Danio rerio: one gene and its partners. The protein of the gene in region 1 binds, or shares a complex with, the protein of each later gene. Links are inferred from orthologs where the notes say so. Each region holds a gene or a part of one and is shown on either strand. Other genes may lie near its edges. The genes, in order: exosc3, exosc5, exosc4 and exosc6.

Region 1 (5,656 bases):
TGATAATGTCCGAGACTCAGACACACTCTCTCCGCTCAACACTAGAGTAAAGACCCATCTCTATAGTAACACACACACTGCTACACCTAACAGTATGATGCATAAGTGTGCTCCACACAGGTGTGTGTTTTCTAATCAGTACTGTGTGTTGGTGTGCGTTTTCTGATCAGTAGTGTGTGTTTTCTGATCAGTAGTGTGTGTTAGTGTGCATTTTCTGATCAGTAGTGTGTGTTTTCTGATCAGTAGTGTGTGTTAGTGTGCATTTTCTGATCAGTAGTGTGTGTTTTCTGATTAGTAGTGTGTGTTAGTGTGTGTTTTCTGATCAGTAGTGTGTGTTAGTGTGTGTTTTCTGATCAGTAGTGTGTGTTTTCTGATCAGTAGTGTGTGTTAGTGTGCGTTTTCTGATCACTAGTGTGTGTTTTCTGATCAGTAGTGTGTGTTAGTGTGTGTTTTCTGATCAGTAGTGTGTGTTAGTGTGTGTTTTCTGATCAGTAGTGTGTGTTAGTGTGTGTTTTCTGATCAGTAGTGTGTGTTAGTGTGTGTTTTCTGATCAGTAGTGTGTGTTTTCTGATCAGTAGTGTGTGTTTTCTGATCAGTAGTGTGTGTTAGTGTGTGTTTTCTGATCAGTAGTGTGTGTTATAGTGTGTTTTCTGATCAGTAGTGTGTGTTAGTGTGTGTTTTCTGATCAGTAGTGTGTGTTAGTGTGTGTTTTCTGATCAGTAGTGTGTGTTAGTGTGTGTTTTCTGATCAGTAGTGTGTGTTTTCTGATCAGTAGTGTGTGTTTTCTGATCAGTAGTGTGTGTTAGTGTGTGTTTTCTGATCAGTAGTGTGTGCTGGCTTGACCTGTCCTAATACACCAGACACTGTGTTTAAACACTCGTCCGCTTCACAAGTGTGTTTCTATAACTCTTATTTTCCCTGCTGCCTGTGCTGTTGAGTGTGTGTGTGTGTGTGTGTGTGTGTGTGTGTGTGTGTGTGTGTGTGTGTAGCTGTAGGTCAGACCTGCGCACGAGTCCCAGCGACACTTTAAAGAGCAGCCCGTCGCCTCCGAACACACCCATCCCGTTGGCTCTCCCGCAGCTGTCGATACACACCAGCTCCGGCTCCATGTCCTTGTTGGCGATGGTGAACTGCCCGAACACCAGATCTCCAACCTGGAGGAGCAAACAGCAGCGTTAGGAGGACTCATACACACCGAACACGACTTTGCTGGGTTGTTTTCCTCCACTCTGGGTTGATGTCGAGTCTTCATTTGTCCTCTTTCTCTGTGTTTCAGTAAATGTGATGATTTCTGCTGAATAATCTGAGTCTGACACACATTATGGGGAAATGCTGTGAGAGTTTTCATAACTCATCAACACACTGTTCACACTGTGTGTGTGTGTGTGTGTGTGTGTGTGTGTGTGTGTGTGTTCACACTGACTCTGCTTGGTTATGTTGTCTGTTGTTGCTCCATTCACTTCCATTATAATCACAGTTATTGACGGTGAAGCCCTGACAGCAGATCATCCTGCATTACTGACTGCTGCTGCTTCCCTGTGGGTCGATCTGTCATTTCACTGTTGATCATGAGTTGTTGCTGCTGGAGTGGCTCTGTCATCATGTACCTGCACGTTGGGTCTGTTCCTCTTGGTGGCTCCTTCAAAGGCCAGGTAGGACAGAGACGCCTGCTCACTTCCTCCAACGTCCACTTTGAAGACGTCTCCAGACTTTGCGGTCACGATGCCGATCACACTCTCACCCTTAGCTGGAACATACTGCAGGAAAGAGCAGAGGTCAGTCCGGAACACCTTCAGCACAGATAGAGGAGCACCACGACACATCCTGACCTGTGCAGTGTTAAAAAGGGCCAGTTCACCCAAACATGAACACTCTGTCATTTATTCACCCTTTACTTGTTCCAGACCCGTTCAGAACACTAATAAGATATTTAGAAAAATGCTGGAAACCTGGAGCCATTGTCTTCCATTTGTTTTTCCTACTATGGAAGTCAATGGTTACCGGTTTTCTGCATTCTTCAAAGTATCTTCTCTTGTGTTTGACAAAAAAAGAAACATGTAAAGGTTTAAAAATACGCTGAGAAAGGGAGTAAATATTCATTCTTGAGTGAACTGACCCTTTAAGATGACTAAAATAAATGATTTATATAGACCAAACGTAGTATACAGCTCTCTATCTCTCTCTCTCTCTCTCTCTCTCTCTCTCTCACTCATATATATATATATTTATTTAGTAGGGTTGGGCGATGTCAACCAATTTGGCAGTAGTGTGTGTTATTGTGTGTTTTCTGCCTAGTAGTGTGTGTGTTAGGTTGGGTTTTCTGCCTAGTGGTGTGTTTTTTTTTTTCCAGTAGTGTGTGTGATTGCGTGTTTTGCCTAGTAGTGTGTTCTAGGTTGTGTTTTCTGCCCAGTAGTGTGTGTTATTGTTTGTTTTCTGCCCAGTAGTGTGTGTTAGAGTGTGTTTTCTGCCCAGTATTGTGTTAACGTGTGTTTTCTGCCCAGTAATGTGTGTGTTCTGCCCAGTATTGTGTGTTATTGTGTGTTTTCTGCCCAGTAATGTGTGTTTTCTGCCCAGTAGTGTGTGTTATTGAGTGTTTTCTGCCCAGTAATGTGTGTTTTCTGCCCAGTAGTGTGTGTTATTGAGTGTTTTCTGCCCAGTAGTGTGTGTTATTGTGTGTTCTGCCCAGTAGTGTGTGTTAGGTTGTGTGTTCTGCCTAGTAGCGTGTGTTATTGTGTGTTTTCTGCCCAGTAGTGTGTGTTACTGTGTGTTCTGCCCAGTAGTGTGTGTTACTGTGTGTTCTGCCCAGTAGTGTGTGTTATTGAGTGTTTTCTGCCCAGTATTGTGTGTTATTGAGTGTTTTCTGCCCAGTAGTGTGTGTTATTGTGTGTTCTGTCCAGTAGTGTGTGTTAGGTTGTGTGTTATGGCTAGTAGTGTGTGTTAGGTTGTGTGTTCTGCCTAGTAGTGTGTGTTATTGTGTGTTTTCTGCCCAGTAGTGTGTGTTATTGTGTGTTCTGTCCAGTAGTGTGTGTTAGGTTGTGTGTTATGGCTAGTAGTGTGTGTTAGGTTGTGTGTTCTGCCTAGTAGTGTGTGTTATTGTGTGTTTTCTGCCCAGTAGTGTGTGGTATTGTGTGTTCTGGCTAGTAGTGTGTGTTAGGTTGTGTGTTATGGCTAGTAGCGTGTGTTATTGTGTGTTTTCTGCCCTGTAGTGTGTGTTAGTGAATTTTCTGAACAATAGTGTGTGCTGGCACATGTTGTGTGTGTGTGTGTTCTGACCCGTCTCTGCTGACAGTTGACCCAGTACATGTTGGGTTGTTTGTGTTTCAGGACTCCTGCTCTACACACACGGATCTCCGCTCCGCTCCGCCGCAGCCCCGGGCCGCAGATCAGCCTGTCCGCTTTCGGGTTCGCGTCTCCGGCTTCAGGAGGACTGAAGGAGAACAGCAGATCGCCTGGAAGAACCACATCTCCTATCCTCTCCAGCAGACTAGTGTGCACTGAGGAGTCCATGATGGAGGAGCGGAAAACACACACAAACACACGTGTCTGAGCACTTCCGGCACGGGGACTCTTATCCTATACAAATTAACTCATTAAAACCTCTCCAACCCTTTATGTCCACAACAGAAATATATTATAAAGATTTTTCTAAAAGCATTCTTAATATCATTCGACACCGGTAACCATCGACATCCATTATAAGAAAATAAATTCTATTGAAGTCAACAGTTAACGTTACTGGTTTCCAACGCTTAAATAACTTGTGTTCAACTGAGACATGGAATTAAACCGGTTTGGGACATGTAACGTTAACGGTTGAGTAAGTGATGGCAGGATTTATTTTAAGGAGATCTACCCCATTTATTAATATTTAGTCTTTGATTGTTTTTAAAAACGAAATATAATTAAATCGTAAAAACAATCAATAAATCAAAAACTGGATAAAGAGAGGGAGAACGTGCTAACATTCCAGCTAACACAAATCTTCCCCTTTAATTTAGGTTATTTTTGGGACTAATTAAACTAAAACTATAACTAAAATAACTTTAACTAAATAGGAACGTTCTGGTAACCAAAACTGTTGGCCAAGTTACTGGACTATACCGAAAAATGCATATTTTTTACCAGTTAAGTTAAATAATTCATACTGGAAATAAAAGTCACGATGTTTCAGAAGTTTGAAAACCGCTGAGCGGGAAATGGGGACTTTTGTGGCATTTCCGTTATGGCGGAGCACACAGAGGCAGAAGGCATCGGCCTGGCTGCAAACAGGTGCAGTTTTCGCTTTATTTTTCCCTCTCAGATAAACACAGACCCCCGGTTATCATTCGCCTTAGTTTATCCCGAAACTCCTCTGGGCTTCGTCTCCAATAAGGCAGATTTGAGTGGGTTTTAGCCTCGTCTGGCCCGTCGGAGGGTGGACAATGAAAGCAGCACAGCAGCAGTCGCCTCACTGTGTTTATATCGCAGTTTCCGCCGAGAATAAGAGCTTGAGGACACACACCGAGTCTCAGAAATAACCCTGTCAGTGTGTAGAGGGTGTGATGTGGCTGTGAGATCAGCTGGACAGTGTGTTTATGATGGAGTCAGTGCTTCAGATTCAGGTGTACTGTAATGAACACCTTCAGCAATGCAGGAGTCAGTGCAGACACTCCTCCATCATCAGTATCTGGGGTTAAAGTGTGTGTTCTGCTCGTCTTCAGCGTGTTTATGGTGTGTGTGTATCTGTTATTAACAGTGTTGGGGAGAGTTTCTCTCGAAAGTAACGGATTACAGTGTCGCGTTACGGTGTTTTAATGCAGGTGATGTGCTGTGAAAAGGCTGGAACTTTGCTTTTGGCTGAAAATGAGTTGTTGACGCTTTTGGGATATGCAGGATTTCCTTCAACACATGGACATGTTCCTTGAGCCACTTGTGTTTTTTTTAATTGTCACATTGCCAGTTTCCTAACAACAATTATTTGATTTAAGTAATTTTTCCTCAGTGCTACAGTAGAGCTGCACATGATGCTATGATATGACTCGCTGCCTGTCATGTTTATGGTGATATGTATCAGGCATGGGCTGGTATTAGTTTCTGACCGTATGATAACCTTGGACATAAATATCACGGTTTCACAGTATCATGTTATTGTGCTCACTGCTCTGAAATATTTACTTTTTAAATCTCTGGTTAAAAAACTAAACTTTTTTTTCCTTTTTTAATATATATATTCTATTTTGGGAAACATTTAAAATATTTTAGAGCAGTAAACATGTCAGGCTAAATCATTTTAATGAATCATTCACTTCTGCAGTCTTTGTTTTTTTATAAACACTAATATTTTTCCAGTTTAAAACAGAATCTTTGATTATATTTTCTGCTGGAGATACTGCTGTCCTTAAAAACAAAACAAAAATTAATAAAAAAAAAAAAGAAATCTTATTTATACCTTAGGAACGGGATAGCGGAAAATTTTCATGGTTTTAAAACCTTGACTTTCCCAAACCATGGTATACCTTGAGTCGTCCCATGCCAAATATATATATATATATATATATATATATATATATATATATATATATATATATATATATATATATATATACATATATATATATATATATATATATATATATATATATATATATATATATATATATATATATATATATATATA
Region 2 (5,601 bases), on another chromosome or scaffold:
TGCATAAACACACCATGTTTGCTATGTTTTGAGAGCTGAGATGCTTATTTTAATTTTCTCAGACATATCAAGGTAAGTACGCAAAGGTGCTCTTACACTTGGTTACACTCACACAATACTCTATATAAAAGCCAGAAACTAATGCTTTTTTTACACTGCAACTAATGGCCAACAGTAAAAATTACTAATTGTACCTCTTCTCAAAAGAGAAAAACCACCACCAATCAAGAATGCATAACAATATGGTTTCATGACTTTGCAATCAAAAAAATGTCATTATAATGGAAATCAATAGGGCAAAAACAGCCACTAACATAACGAAAAGGACCAGTGTAGTAAACTTGCCCTGCTGAGTCTATTGTTGAGGTTTTTTTTTTTTTTTTTTTTTAAATTGCAAAAATTTGTCAAAATAAAATGTCACCAAAATCATTCCGCTTGCTGAAACAAGTTGTGGCCAAATTAAGACTCAAAATAACCCCAGAGTGGATGAAAACATTCCTAACAAGCGTTAAAACATAATAAAATTGAAGAGTATTAAAAGAAGCCAATTATTCAAATCTTCAATTTTTTTGTACGTTTAGTCTATATTGCCACTTTTTTCGTTTTAATACATTCATTGTAATAAAACATACTAATCTTTAATACTCAACCCTAAATATTCAAAACAAACTCCTCCCTTCAACGGTAAGTGACTAAAAAGTTCAAACAATAAAACCACGGACACATCATATTTGCCCCCTCTTCATTTTGCATTTATAAAGAAGAGTTTTGCTGGTGTTGAGGATACAGATCCATCATCGTGGACGACCTGCAGGATGACCGTGAGAGAAGAGCGTGGATGAAGGGTCAACAGAAGGGCAGCTTCACAAGTCTCACGGACACACTGCTCTCTCGCTCGCTCGCGGACACCTAACACAACACATCGCACCACAGTATGAGGAAGTTTAAAAAAATACTGTACCAGACTGACACCTAATGCTGAAACATGGCTGTGCAGGCCATGCAATTATAACTATGTTTACTATTCTAGTATGAGCTGTATATGTGTATTATTAAACATTAATAATAATAATAATTAGTAATAATAAAACACTGACTAAATAAAAACAATTTACATAAACGACACACATTTTTTATGGCATAACATTTTCTTCCTGACATGTAGTTTTAAGACTCCCTTTAAACAGTTTATACTCATGTAGGTAATTGTTTCTTATATTATATTAAATAAAAAAGTGACAAACAATTCATATTTATGTTGCATTAGTCTGTGTTATATTGGGTGTAATTAGTAACTAGTAACAAAGTGGCTAGTGTTTGGTCTGGGACATATTAGGTGTAATTAATTACAAAGTAACGTGTTACTGTAATTACTTTTGTACTGAAAATGTAAAGTAGTAGGTTACTTTTCATGGATGGGTAATTTAATTGCAGTTACTTCTAACATACTTGCCTTAAATACTGTAAATAAGTCCAACAGTTTTGAATAAATCAATTCAAAAAAGCAGAAGGAAATGTGTCCAACAACTTCACATACTTAAGAAACAATGAAATGTTTTAGAAATGCATGCCAATATATCAAAATATTAGTCATCTGCATACAGTACAAGCTACTTTTTACTCAGTTAAATTCATTGAACTGAATATAGATTGGATCCATTCAAAATTCAAATGTCTAACATTTTAAGAGAGGCACGTTTTAAGACAAAAAAAAGCAATATGACAATGTTCAAAGGTGATTAGGGGATTTTCTTTTAATAACACTAAACAATTTTGCTATAATAGAACTTTCCTGAAATAACCGAAAAAAGCCAGTGCAGTTTGCTATCTGTAAATTATACATATTTCTGCTTTAAAAAAAAAAAAACTAAATCTTTTTTTTTTTTTTTGAACAAGAAAGATGTTTTATCCCAAACTAACCCAAACTAATGGTGCACACCAGCTGCTTTTCCAGTGCACAACTGGCATAATGCACATAAAAGATTCATGCCTGATATTTGTATATATATTGTATTTTGTTATTTTGTAAAAACTTTAGATTGTTCAAAAGATGTGCAATGCGTTTCTATTATTTAATTATTAATTATCTGTATCAGTCTTTCACATTATAGCTGATATGCTAAATGCAGACAGATTTAAGTTAATCCAACATCAGTGCAATGATAATAATACAAAGCAAAAAATAAATAGATGAATATACATGTAGACATGTAGATCTCACACACTTTTTCATATCGATTTTTTTAAAGAAAATGATTCTGTTCATCAAGGCAGCATTTATTAAGTAAAAAAAAATAAAAAAAATTAATTAATAACTGCTTTCTTATTGTGTGTAGTTTCAAATGAAGTTATTATTCCAGACTTTACTACTTTTATTACTATTACCATTACCCCCATAATAACAGCAATAATAATAACAATTTATATCAGAGCGATTACTGAAAGATCACATGACTCTGAAGACTAAAGGAAGCTGACAATTTATGTGTAAAATCACTGGAATAAATGATTTTATATAAAATATAATTTATTATTTTATAGTGCAATAACATATCACAATTGTCCTATATGTCCTGTATTTTTGTTTAAATAAATGCAGCTTTGGTGAGCAGAACAAGCTTATTTTAAAACATTTAAAAATCCTACTGACCCCAAAATTTTGACCAGTAGTGTAAATGTACAGTTGAAGTCAGAACTATTAACCCCCATTTGATTGTTTTTAAAAATATTTCCCAAATGAAGTTTAACAGATTTCACAGTATGTCTGATAATATTTTTTCTTCTGGAGAAAGTCTTATTTGTTTTATTTCGGCAAGAATAAAAGCAGTTTTTAAATTATTTAAAACAATTTTAAGATCAAAATTATTAGTCTCTTTGTTTTTTTTTTTTTTTTTTTGTTTTTTTTTGTTTTTGATAATCTTCAGAAAAAACTATCGTTATACAATAACTTGCCTAATTATCCTAACCTGCCTAGTTAACCAAATTAACCTAGTTAAGCCTTTAAATGTCACTTTAAGCTGGATAAAAGTGTCTTGAAAAATATCTAGTCAAATATTATTTACTGTCATCATGGCAAAGATAAGATAAATCCATTTTTAGAAATGAGTTATTACAACTAATATGTTTAGAAATGTGTTGAAAAAATCTTTCAAATATGTTGATTTGTTGAAGATAAAGGTAATTTTTTATAAATTTGTAATATTGTCATAACATGACATATAACATTAAATTAATTAAAACTAAACTCCATTCCAATGACGCGATTAAATATATATATTTGCATGTACACGTTTTTATTAAAAAATATTAATAAATAATGCAATTACTGTCAAAATATGGCTGCAAATAAAACTGTTTAAAAACATACTTGGAAGCCCCATTTTGGGCTGTATAAGGACCTCTACAGTTGCCCGATCATATATTTCCTTGCTGACTTTAACCTCAGCTGGTCCATAAACTCCAGCCAGGATACTCGTGTCCCCTAAAAACACATTTACAAATTCAAAACGATACATATTTAAATGAATGGAATAGATCTCTGGATATTCTTTGGCCTGACAGATAAATAACTGCTATGACATGAGTAAAGAAATAAATTACATTAAACATTTATAAATTACCTTGTACAAACGTGGACGACCCGTCAGGTCTTGATAACAAACTCTGTTCACTTCCATATTCTCTTAAAACTGGACAACTTCGCTCCAGCTCCATCTCGGTCCTCATGCACAATCTGCTCGTCGCATCCATAAATGGGTCATTGTTTTGAGCGCACAATAATGACGACATGACACATGTTAGCAGTGCACTTACGCCCTCTAACGGAATTAAGGATGTAATGACACATGTATAGCGACTTTATAAGCACGTTTCTGCTTGTTCCTTTTAGTTATACACACTACCGTGACCCCAATCAAATTTAAAATGTACATAAAAGGATACATTTCTCAGACAAAACCGTAAAAATGAGGAGTAACATTTTTCCTGTAGGGGGCGCAGTGTGTTGGATTTCCAGAGACGAGGAGGGAAAAGACGCTAGAGACACGCACTTGACGTAAAGATGGCGGCTGCTAGAGCTGTGAAGAAATTATATGGCATTGGGCTTCATGCAATTCGTCAAAACACAGCATTAAAAGCAACAACGCTTCTCCAACAAAGGGGATTCCGCGTCAATGTAAGTCTTACGTTTATGGCAGCTGCATATACGCCACCAACGGACTTTTAACATTAGCAAAACTTGCCATTCAGGTTGTATGAAGTGTGTGTAGCCGTGGGAGACCGAAAACATTTCCTAGAATTGTATGAGACTAATATTAACAACATCTGTATAAAGACGTTTTATGCTAGTTTCAAACATAAAAGCTACTGAACTGTCTTAATAATGTAAATGCTAATGTATAAGTTAGGTGTTCCTCATCTGACCTACAAAAGAAATAGTGCTCAATGTCACATGGTCATGATTGTTTTAAATGCAATAACTAGTGGTCAGATGTCTGAAGATTGTTGTAGGTAACAGTTAATGGATCCTTCAACCTTCACATGTCTGTGGATTTATACTCAGAGCTGATTGGCTAGTTGAAGGGGGCGTGTGGATGAAAAAAACAACACTAATCCTGACTGTTATGGGTCATTAAAAAATCTTTACATTTTACAACTTATTTGCATTATTAAATTGTTTCATATTTAAAGTGGATCTTAATTATGAGCTAATGTCTTGTGCACATTTAAATTACAGGTGATAGTAAATTCTTCTCATGCGAATATGTGACTTTATCAATATGCAAACCACATACACACAAATTTAAAGAGAATTAACTTTTTATGCAGTGTACATCCCTAGCTTAGGGTAATTCACTTTATTCCCTGCCAGTTTTTGGGGAAGTTACTTTGACAGGGTATCCACAGAGTCTTAAAATGTTTTACATTTTCAAAATAAAATTTTAGTCCTTAAAAAGTTCTAAATTTGCTGAAATATTGAATTGTAGGTCTTAAATCATTACAAATAGGTTGTAATTTTCTAATATCCATGTAAAGCTTCCCAAATCAGGCCAACACCTGTATACAGTATACACTCACCAATAACACACCCCAATAAAACTTTTAACAAAACTCTATTTAACAATATGGTTCCTCATAATAACTTTTTTATGTTCTCCGGGGATTTGTAGACCATATGTGGCGGGGACACTGACCTTAAAAAGACTATTGTACATTTAGGTTAATAAAGTTTTTAAAGCTTGTCAAAGAAAAGTATGTATGGTTTGCTTGTTTTGACACATTTAAGTATTAAGTAATTAGATTTTTTTTTAATGAGGCAAGCACAAATCTTTACGGTTTAGTCCTGTACAAGTCTGAAATTTCATTCATAAGGGTCTTAAAAAGGTCTTAAAAAGTCTTAAATTTGACTTTGAGAAACCTGTAGAAACCTTGATAACCTACAAAGCTACCCATCAGGACAAGTAGCTAAGCTTCTGTATTGTTTTTTTTTTTTTTTTGTACAGTCAAGTTTCTTCTTATTATCCCTGTTTAATGGCAACTTTTTTGTTAATTTTACTTTTCATTTATTTTTTATTGAACATATAGTAAAGTACAACTTGGCAT
Region 3 (5,459 bases), on another chromosome or scaffold:
TTGGGATTGTATTTGTGCATTTTTCATACTCTGATAAAATAGTTGGGTTAAAAATACCCCAACATTAAACCCAACTATGGGGTATTTTAACTCAATGCATTGGGTTATTTTAAATACATGTTTTTTTTTCATTCTGGTATTACTCTATTACTATTACTACTATTAATTTTATAATTATGATAGTGTAAATAAATAAATGTCTCCGCTGGGTGCTAAAGACAACAATATTATTGCGTTAAGAGCTTAAATAAACTTTAGAATGCAAAAACAACATTAAGCGCACATATTAATACAGCTGTTCTGTGTCAGTTAAATCAGTTGACTGTTGAAATTAAAAATTCTAACCCAACTGGTTGAGTTATGATATAAATAACCCAACAAAGTACATACTATTTAACCCAACTGGTTGAGTTACTATTAAATAACATAATAAAGGTTAAAAATAACCCAACAAAGCACATACTATTTAACCCAACTGGTTGAGTTACTAATAAATAACATAATAAAGGTTAAAATAACCCAACAAAGCACCAAATATGTTTAACTTAATTATTGGGTTAAATAAATAACTCAACGTTTTTTTAGAGTGTAACATTTGAAACAAAGTTATATCTGAAATGTAAACTGTAAACTTAAAATTGTACAAAAAGCATTTACAAGCTGTGATACTTGCCAAAGGCGGCAGTTCAAGATATTATAATCAACAAAAAAACGTTCTGAGAAGGTTCTCTTTTGGTTATAAAATAGATCCCAAAATTAACCTACAATGAACGTTCTGGGAAGGTTCTCTCAAGGTTATGAAAAAAACCTAAATAAAACCTAGAGGGAATGTTCTGGGAAGGTTCTCTGTAGGTAATAAATTAACCATTGAAAATAGCCTGCAGAGAACGTTCTGGGAAGGTTATATTTTGGTTACCAAAAAAAAAAAAAAAACCTACAGAGAACGTTCCCAGAATGTTTTTTTTTTTATTTTCTGTTATTTTGAAAGTGTAAATGATGGAAATAAAGTTTAACTTTTTTGACACATTAAAAAAATGTCTAATCTGTAATTTAAAGCCTTTTGGAGATTTTTCCATCTTGTCGTGGCTTCTTTATGCACATTAATTCAAATTTTTACCTGGGGCGCCCAAACTTTCGATCCCCACTGTTTATTAGGAGTACTAAATCTGATTAAATAATGGTTAATTTGATAAAACACAAAAGGAAAAGTGTTCATTTGTTAAAAACATACCATTGTTTTATTACAACTCTCTCACAACAGAGGACATTATTATAACAAAATGTGTTCAGCGCTTTTTAGGTGGCATTTCTTCTGGATAAGCTGATATATAAACTTATTTTTTTCTGTGTCTATCAATTCTGTGTGTTTTTCAGTCCAAGCGCATGCTTCAGACACTAAAATGAAGAATAAATGACTAAAGCATTTCCTATGGAGTCAGATCAGTCTCAAAAATAATACATTTATGAAATGATATTCATACATGCATAGCGCAATTCACATTTATAAAATTAAGTTCGTAAATTCAAAACACAATTCATAAATACAACACACAGTTTATAGATTCACAAGTAAAAATCATAAATATTTTCGCCAAATGAACTGGATTTGTGTATTTTTTAATTATATTTAAACTTGTGAATTATATTTTGTAAATGTGTTATTTCTGAGACTGATCTAACTCCATACATGTCGATCAAATCTGTTTTTTTTTTTCAGTCCAAGCGCATGCTTCAAAGATTAAATGAATAACAAATTAATAGAGCATTTCCTATGGAGTCAGATCAGTCTCAAAAATAATTAATTTACTAAAAGTTCATACATCACAATTCACAATTACATAATCCAATTCATAAAATCAAAACACTATTCATAAACGCAACACACAGTTCATGAATTCACCAGTGAATATCATATATAATATTTTCACCAAATGAATTGGATTTGTGTATTTCTGAATCATATTTAAGCAAATTATATTTTGTAAATGTATTATTTTTGACACTGATCTGACTCCATAGATGTCCATTAAATCTCCATCTCAATCTCTGGTCAGATCTGAAACCTCCTCTAGATGCTGCCGTACGACACTGTCTAGAACTTTACTGAACTCTTTGCACGCCGTCATGGCCGCCTCCATCAGTGTGTCCAGGTGGTCCTGATGGAGCCGGGCGTCCATTTGCAACAGGGCAATATTTCCACTACGAGGCAGCAAAGCCAGAGCCAGCGCTGTTCCTCCACCGCTCTCCTCTGCATGACACAGATCTGCCAGCGGGGTGTCCTCCACAAACCCAGCGCTGCACGCACACACATAATCGCGCATGGGGATCCCAGCGTCCACTAGAGCCAATGTAGCAGCATTGACACACGCGCTGTAGTTTCCACCGTCCGCCTGCAGGATCTACAGCGCAGGACAAATCAAAGACATGGTGCTGTTGTAGTCAGTTACATGTAATGTGAATTGTAATAGTATTTAAAGTGTCTTTGGAATCTTGTCATGTACTGCAACTGTAATAATATGAGTTATAGTTTGATCTGGCTCTTACGTTCAACAGAAAAAATTATCACAATAATTTAAAGCCAATATGCATGCATGGATGGATGGATTGATGGATTGTGGGTGGATGGCTGGGTAATTGGGTGGAGGACGAATGGATAGTTGGGTGGATCCTTGGATGGAGTCGGTGGGTGGATGGATGGATAGTTGCATTTATGAATGGATAGTTGGGTGGGTGCAGGAATAGCGTTGGGTAGATGGATAGATAGTTGGGTGGGTGCGTGGATGGATGGATAGTTGCATGAATGGATTGATAGTTGGGTGGGTGCATGAATAGCGTTGGGTAGATAGATGGATAGTTGGGTGCGTGGATGGATGGTTGGACGGATGGGTAGTTGGGTGGATGAATGCAAAGATAGATGGATGCATGTATGTTGGATAGTTGGGTGGGTCCATGGTAGAGTTGAGTGGGTGGTTGGATTGATAGTTGGGTGGATGGATGGATGAATGTATAGTTGGGTGGTTGGATGTATAGTTGGGTGGGTGCATGAATGGAGTTGGATGGGTGAATGGATAGGGAGTAGGTGTGTGGATGGATAGTTCGGTGGATGGATGCAGAGATGGATGGATGAATGGGTAGTTGAATGGATAGACGAATGGGTAGTTGGGTGGATAGATGGATGGATAGTTGGGTGGGTGCATGGATGGAGTTAGTTGGTTGTTGGGATGGATAGTTGGGTGGATGGATGGATGAATAGTCGGGTGGATAAATGGATGAATAGTCGGATGGATGAATAGTCAGATGGATGGATGGATAGTTGGATGTATGGATAGTTGGGTGGGTGCACAAATGGATTTGGGTTGGTGGATAGTTGGATAGTTGGGTGGGTGCATGAATAGAGTTAGGTGGGTGGATGGATGAATAATTGGGTGTGTGGATGGATGGGTAGTTAGGTGGATGAATGCAGGATGCATGTATGATGGATAGTTGGGTGGGTCCATGGATGGAGTTGAGTGGGTGGTTGGATGTATAGTTGGGTGGTTGGATGTATAGTTGGGTGGGTGCATGAATGGAGTTGGATGGGTGAATGGATAGTTGGGTGGGTGTATGGATGGATAGTTGGGTGGATGGATGCAGAGATGGATGGATGGATGGATGGGTAGTTGAATGGATAGTTGGGTGGATAGATGGATGGATAGTTGGGTGGGTGCATGGATGGATAGTTGGGTGGGTGCACAAATGAATTTGGGTTGGTGGATAGTTGGATAGTTGGGTGCATGAATAGAGTTAGGTGGGTGGATGGATGAATAATTGGGTGCGTGGATGGATGGATAGATGGATAGTTGGGTATGTGGATGGATAGGAAGGTGGGTGTATGCTGGATGGAAAGATAGTTGGATGGGTGCATGGATGGAGTTAGGTGGTTGGTGGGATGGAAAGTTGGTGGTTGGATGGATGAATAGTCGGATGGATGATGGATAGTCAGATGGAGGATGGAAAGTCGGATGGATGAATAGTTGGGTGGGTGCATGAATGGAGTTGGGTGGGTAGACGGATGGATAACTGGGTGCGTGGATGGATAGTTGGGTGGATGGATAGATAGATGGATAGTTGGGTACGTGGATGGATGGGTAGGTGGGTGTATGCTGGATGAATGAATAGTTGGGGAATGCATAGATGGATGGACTGTTGGGTGGGTAAATGCATGGATGGATAATTAATTGGGTGGATGAATGGTTGGATCGATAGTTGGGTGGGTGGATGAGTTGATTGACAGTGGGGTGTATACATGGATGGATGGATATTTATGTGGATGCATGGACAGTTGGGTGGATGAATGGTTGGATCGACTGTTGGGTGGATGGATGCATGAATGGATTGTTGGGTGGGTGGATGGACTGTTGGGTGGGTAGATGAAGGGTAGGATTGATAGCTTGGTGATTTTATGGTTGGGTGGGTGGATGGATGAATGGATAGATAGTTGGGCGGATGCATGAAGGGATGGATAACTGGGTGGATGCATGGATTGATGGCTGAATAAATGCATGGATTGATAGTGGTGTGGGTGGATGGATGAATTTCCAGATAGAATCCAGGGAGGATGTATGGTTGGACATATGACCAACTGAGCAGATGGATGAGTGGATGAACAGATGAAGGCTTGGACGGATGTGCTTGAATGATGATGGACGGATCGATTCATGCATGGATCACTGGATGTTAAGATGTGTACAAATATGTGAATTAACTTATGCATGGATGGATGCACAGATGGATGCATGTGTGGATGATTTGGTATACGTTTTTAAAAACATCCAAAGTGCACTCAGTATCAATATACAATATGATTTACGGTGATGGATGAATGAAAGCACAGATGCATGGGGGCATTTAAGAATAGATCAACGACTGATGCAGAGATTGGTGGATGCAAAATTGGGCAGGTGAGTGGATGGATGATAAACGGCATGAACGTAAAGAAGTCCATGTACCTTGACGTAGATGTCGATTTGTGAGCGTGGGTAGAGCTCAGTGAGCACCGCAGCCTCAAAGGTCTGTTTGAGGTGGAGGCTCATCTCGCTGGACTTCCGGTCTCCGTGTGGACGTCTCTTCCTCTCCGCCGTGCTGAACGTGGCCATGCTGTACTGACAGTTGATGATGGCGCGATCATGCAAGGATTTACTGCGAGAGCCTCGAATCTACAGGGACAAAGATGAACTCCAACATGTTATTCAGTTAAACGATGATAAAATATTGGATGTTACACATAACCGACACGTTGGACAACGTTACTGCAGAGATTCTGGCCTGAGTGTTTTGTAATAATTATTGTCTATTATTCACAGCACCATTTTAATCAATTATATTAGACAGTTTAACTAATTAAGAATTATATTATTATATTGAATCCACGAATACTTAAAAACATACGGAAATGTGTTGTTCTTGTTTTAATTTATTTT
Region 4 (4,421 bases), on another chromosome or scaffold:
TTTATTAGTCTGGAGTCGCCACAGTGGAGTGAACCGCCAACTTATCCAGCAGGTTTTTACGCAGCGGATGCCCTTCCAGCCGCAACCCATCTCTGGGAAAACCATGCTTTATGATGCTGTGCAATATTTATACAATCTATTTTATTAAATGTATTGGTATTGGTGGCGGATGTGGTGTTGTCGCGAACTGAAGAGCGTAGTGGTGGACATTGGGGGACATTGTTTCACAGTAATGGGTTGCAGCTAGAAGGACATCCGCTGCATAAAACATACACTGAATAAGTTGGCAGTTCATTCCACTGTGGCGACCCCGGAATAATGAAGTGACTTGGCCTTTTTGCGCTGTGGCAACCCTGAATTGATATAGGGACTAAGCCAAAAAGAAAACACACATATGGGGGTGCTTGGGGTGTTTTTTGTTGCCAGTTTGATTGGGCCCCCAAATAGTAACTCTGGGGGTCCAAAAAGAGTGCATCTTCCCTGCATAGTTCTTAATCGTTCTAACCTTTTCCCCCTGGCGACGCCCCTGCATATAGCCAAGTTTCATGAGTTTCACTCATTGTGATTAAGTATTTTTATAAGATCCAGCTAGAGAGGCCCATGGACTGTACAATTGTAATTAGCCTAAACCTACAGTGCTCAGCTTATATAAGTACACCCCTCACAAATCTCTCTTTTAAATTCATATTTGTAATAGGAAGCTGTACAATATTATATTTGTGCATATACAATAGATTAGTCAGTTCTGAAGCCTATCCAACAAAATAACAAATTTTTTATGATACAGAAAAATATTAAATACAAATTTTAAAAAGAGGAAAAATCAAGAGAAGCAAAAAATAAATAAATTTTGTTGAAATTGTGTAGGTTGTAATTTAATTTTTTAATGTTTCACTTGAATTTAATTGTATAATATTTTAACTTCTAAATATGTTTTGTGACTAATATATTATTTTAATACATATTTCTGTTTATTAAATCTGTTTTGTTTAAAAGCACCAGGATTCATTGCCTATATTCACTGAGAAATGGATAAAATTACAAATTTTCAAATTGGGCTGTACTCAATTATGCTGAGCACTGTATATACTCAACTGCCACTCAAAAATTAAACGAGCTATTTACATACAGTAGAAAACTCAATGCATTTAGTCATGCCGACTTTGAGGGAAAGGGATGTGATGCATTGTTGATGGCAGAAGTCAGAGGACATTTACCTGTTTTGAGCTGAAAGGCAACAGTCAAATAACTCTCTTCAGGCAAGATATGCAGACCATCTCTGAATGAATACACAACATGTCAAACCTTGAAGCAGATGAGCTACAGCAGCAGAAGAGAACATGATGCTACTCCTGTCAGCAAAACAGCAAACTTAACCTAACACTAACATGGTTTACCGAAATTGGACAAAGGAAGCTTGAAAAACTGATTAGGTGAGTCTTGATTTCTGCTACAACTTTTGTGGAGTCAGATTTTTGATCTAAACAACATTAATGCATGGATCCATCCTGTCTCGCATCTTCAGTTTAGCCAGCTAGTAGTGTAATGGTGTGTGTGTGTGTGTGTGTGTGTGTGTGTGTGTGTGTGTGTGTGTTTGTTAATTTGTGCTGCTATGTTGCTTCTATATGCTGTATCGTGTAACTGCTATCATTTTGATTCTGTATTGGGCAAATGTCTTCTGTCCAACTTAATTATCTGTCTTGACTGTCTGACAATGGGAAATGACTGTTCGTTGTGTTGCTGCTATTGTAAAATGTCCACATTATTTCAACAGTTGGTATTTACATTATTAATGGTGTGAAGGATGTTTCTCTGCATACTTCAGGCCTATCAAAAGTAATAATACAAACAGCACCGTGTATTGAGCTATGGTTGCAGACTGCAAGTCACATCAGTGTTCGACTATCTACACTGCAGCAAAATAGTAATATCCAACGTGTTGAAAAATGGCTAAACTAGGTCTACATTACGTCTGTCAAATGAACTATTTCATTCCTGACTTTAAAACATGCACATCACATCTAACAAAGCATAATGTCTTTGCCACAGCACATTTGCCACGTTATCCCTATCCGGCAGAGGGCAGCAGCGCGCAAACAGCATTTGATTGCAGCATCCCGAAGCATTTGATTCCTCGAGGAAGACTGAGTAGTTTCACCGCTGCAAAGTAAGCTATGCTCTCGTAAACACGTGGGTTTATTAAAAATGCCGGTTGACACAAAACGTATTCGTGGACCGGAAGAGTCGCAGTCCCCGTTGCTCTTTCTGTCCCCGGACAAAGCCCCTAAAGCCCCCAGCAGCAGGCAGGGCGTCCGCGGGAACGGAGATGTGCGGCCGGTGTTTGCGCGCTGCGGGCTAGTCAGCCAGGCGAAAGGCTCCGCGTACATCGAGGCTGGAAACACCAAGATCATCTGCTCGGTGTACGGGCCGAAGGAAACGGAACGAAGGGACGAAACGGACATGAAAACCGGTCGGCTGGTTTGCGACTTCAGGCTCGCGCCGTTTTCCTGCGTGAAACGGGGAGCCTGGATCCAGGGCAGCGAGGAGAGAGACCTGTCCGCCACTCTGATGGAGAGCTTGCGGCCGGGAGTTTGCCTACACAGATACCCGCGCTCTCAGATTGACGTGAATGTCATGGTTTTGGAGAATGACGGCTCGGTTCTGGCGCACGCGGTGACCTGCGCTTCGATGGCCCTGGCGGACGCCGGTATCGAGATGTACGACATTGTTTTGGGTTGCACGCTGCGGCAGAGCGGAAACGCGTGTCTCGTTGACCCGTCATACGCCGAGGAGTGCGGGAGCTGGCAGGAGGGCTACGGAGACAACCAGGGGTGCGTCACCTTGGCTCTGCTTCCCAATCTGAATCAGGTGTCTGGCCTGAATGCGGACGGGGAGATGCGGGAGGACACTCTGACCGAGGCTATGAGAACCTGCATGGACGGCTGTCATAAACTCTACCCGGTGGTTCAACAAGCGCTGACGCGGGCTGTCAAGAAGAAAGCGCCTCCGCCTGAGAAATAGACTTTTGTTTGGCGCTTCTTTTTGAGAACAGTTAAAATGATTACAATTGTTGAAATTTTGTACATTTAAATGTGTAATAATGTCGAACCAACTAAATAAACTCCTCTGCAGTTTTATCTCCTCTATGATCTTGTATTTGTTCATTTCAGTGGTGTTGCTGATTTTGTATTCAGATTATTTCCCCCTAAACGAAAATCTCCTGTCGCACCCTCAATGCCATCCATGGTGTAGATCAGGGGTGCCCAAACTTTTTCTTATGAGGGGCCAAAAAAGTTGATTATAGGTGGTGAGCTGAAGTTAAATAAACCAAAGTATTACATTACAGTTGCCATGGTAATTACCTTATTTATTAATATTTAAAATAAATTGAAAGAATACTGAAATCATTAATAATTATATCTTTTTTGCATTTTATAATGAACATCTTACAATAAAAAAACAATCCTCTTTATAACAATAATGTTCACTGCTGAATATATTCAGGACACTTGATTTGCTCATCAAGGACTCTTACTTTTTTTTTTTTTAAATGTGATTCATGCACAACATTTAAGTGAAACTTTTAATTTCAGTTGCTTTTTTTGCAACCCAACAATTAAATGAACAAACAAAAGGTTACATTAAAATTAGAAATGACAAGCGCGCGGCATGGCACCAACCTTTTCATCATTCTCCCTCACTTCTCAGATAGGATGGCAGGCCGTAGTTTGGGCATCTCTGGTCTAGATGGCTTTTTCCTTTAGTAGAATATTTAAGATATTTAGATGAAGCCATTGCCCATGGTCAGTCGTAAAATGCAAGTCAGTAGCTTGCAGCACTTTCATAGTCTGAAAAACACAGGCAAAACAAGTTAATACCCGTGGTTCTTTGGGTTTCTATGAAATGAATCAACTGTTCTGTGCTAGAAAGTAAATGTTATAAGAATATTACCTTAATCTCTGCAAGATGCACAGACTCTGTGTTGGTGGCCGTGACTAGAACTATTATTTGAATCACCATAGGACATCTTTAATTAAGTAGACACCTACTTCTTGGATAACCCAAGTATGAGCAACCAGCACTTTTTTTATTTATGAGGTAACTGCCCCTTTAAACAGGGTTACCACGCTTCCTAAAAGTACTTGAATTTCAGACAAATAAATTCAAAACAGAACAAAACACTGAGAAATTTAAATTCTTTCATTTCAATATTGCACAATAAAACTGACAAATTAATGCACATTCAAGTTTTTTTCAACATCCAAATCAAATCACTTTTATTGTCACATAATGATTTGATTTGTTAAAAAAAAACATGACTGTTAAAAACGATTCATTTTTGAAAATTACTACATTTAAGCATAAATATCTAACAACAAGTCTAAGTGAAATACTAAGTACAGTTGGTGTATGATTTACAA

What was found.
Region 2: exosc3 (region 1) and exosc5 share a complex: the UniProt entries of both Homo sapiens proteins name them as parts of the RNA exosome core complex. The link is inferred for Danio rerio from reciprocal best matches to the Homo sapiens genes EXOSC3 and EXOSC5.
Region 3: exosc3 (region 1) and exosc4 share a complex: the UniProt entries of both Homo sapiens proteins name them as parts of the RNA exosome core complex. The link is inferred for Danio rerio from reciprocal best matches to the Homo sapiens genes EXOSC3 and EXOSC4.
Region 4: exosc3 (region 1) and exosc6 share a complex: the UniProt entries of both Homo sapiens proteins name them as parts of the RNA exosome core complex. The link is inferred for Danio rerio from reciprocal best matches to the Homo sapiens genes EXOSC3 and EXOSC6.

Annotation. Positions count from the first base shown.
Region 1 is NC_133189.1:58,544,441-58,550,096, forward strand, and holds the start of exosc3 (exosome complex component RRP40), read right to left. Parts: upstream 3,519-5,656; 5' UTR 3,508-3,518; coding exon of another isoform or gene 3,274-3,507; 5' UTR 2,762-3,273; intron 2,567-2,761; 5' UTR 1,881-2,566; coding exon 1,608-1,880; intron 1,155-1,607; coding exon 1,003-1,154; intron 1-1,002. Other genes in the region: tcerg1a (transcription elongation regulator 1a), read left to right, coding at 4,223-4,269. UniProt on the Homo sapiens protein: Non-catalytic component of the RNA exosome complex which has 3'->5' exoribonuclease activity and participates in a multitude of cellular RNA processing and degradation events.
Region 2 is NC_133193.1:38,982,887-38,988,487, forward strand, and holds the start of exosc5 (exosome complex component RRP46), read right to left. Parts: upstream 3,755-5,601; 5' UTR 3,751-3,754; coding exon 3,621-3,750; intron 3,482-3,620; coding exon 3,368-3,481; intron 910-3,367; coding exon 788-909; intron 1-787. Other genes in the region: bckdha (2-oxoisovalerate dehydrogenase subunit alpha, mitochondrial), read left to right, coding at 4,061-4,174. UniProt on the Homo sapiens protein: Non-catalytic component of the RNA exosome complex which has 3'->5' exoribonuclease activity and participates in a multitude of cellular RNA processing and degradation events.
Region 3 is NC_133177.1:2,087,126-2,092,584, reverse strand, and holds the end of exosc4 (exosome complex component RRP41), read right to left. Parts: intron 5,196-5,459; coding exon 4,989-5,195; intron 2,400-4,988; coding exon 2,040-2,399; 3' UTR 1,212-2,039; downstream 1-1,211. UniProt on the Homo sapiens protein: Non-catalytic component of the RNA exosome complex which has 3'->5' exoribonuclease activity and participates in a multitude of cellular RNA processing and degradation events.
Region 4 is NC_133182.1:29,203,576-29,207,996, reverse strand, and holds exosc6 (exosome complex component MTR3), read left to right. Parts: upstream 1-2,205; coding exon 2,206-3,021; 3' UTR 3,022-3,146; downstream 3,147-4,421. Other genes in the region: slc38a8b (putative sodium-coupled neutral amino acid transporter 8), read right to left, coding at 1,218-1,279, 2,053-2,462. UniProt on the Homo sapiens protein: Non-catalytic component of the RNA exosome complex which has 3'->5' exoribonuclease activity and participates in a multitude of cellular RNA processing and degradation events.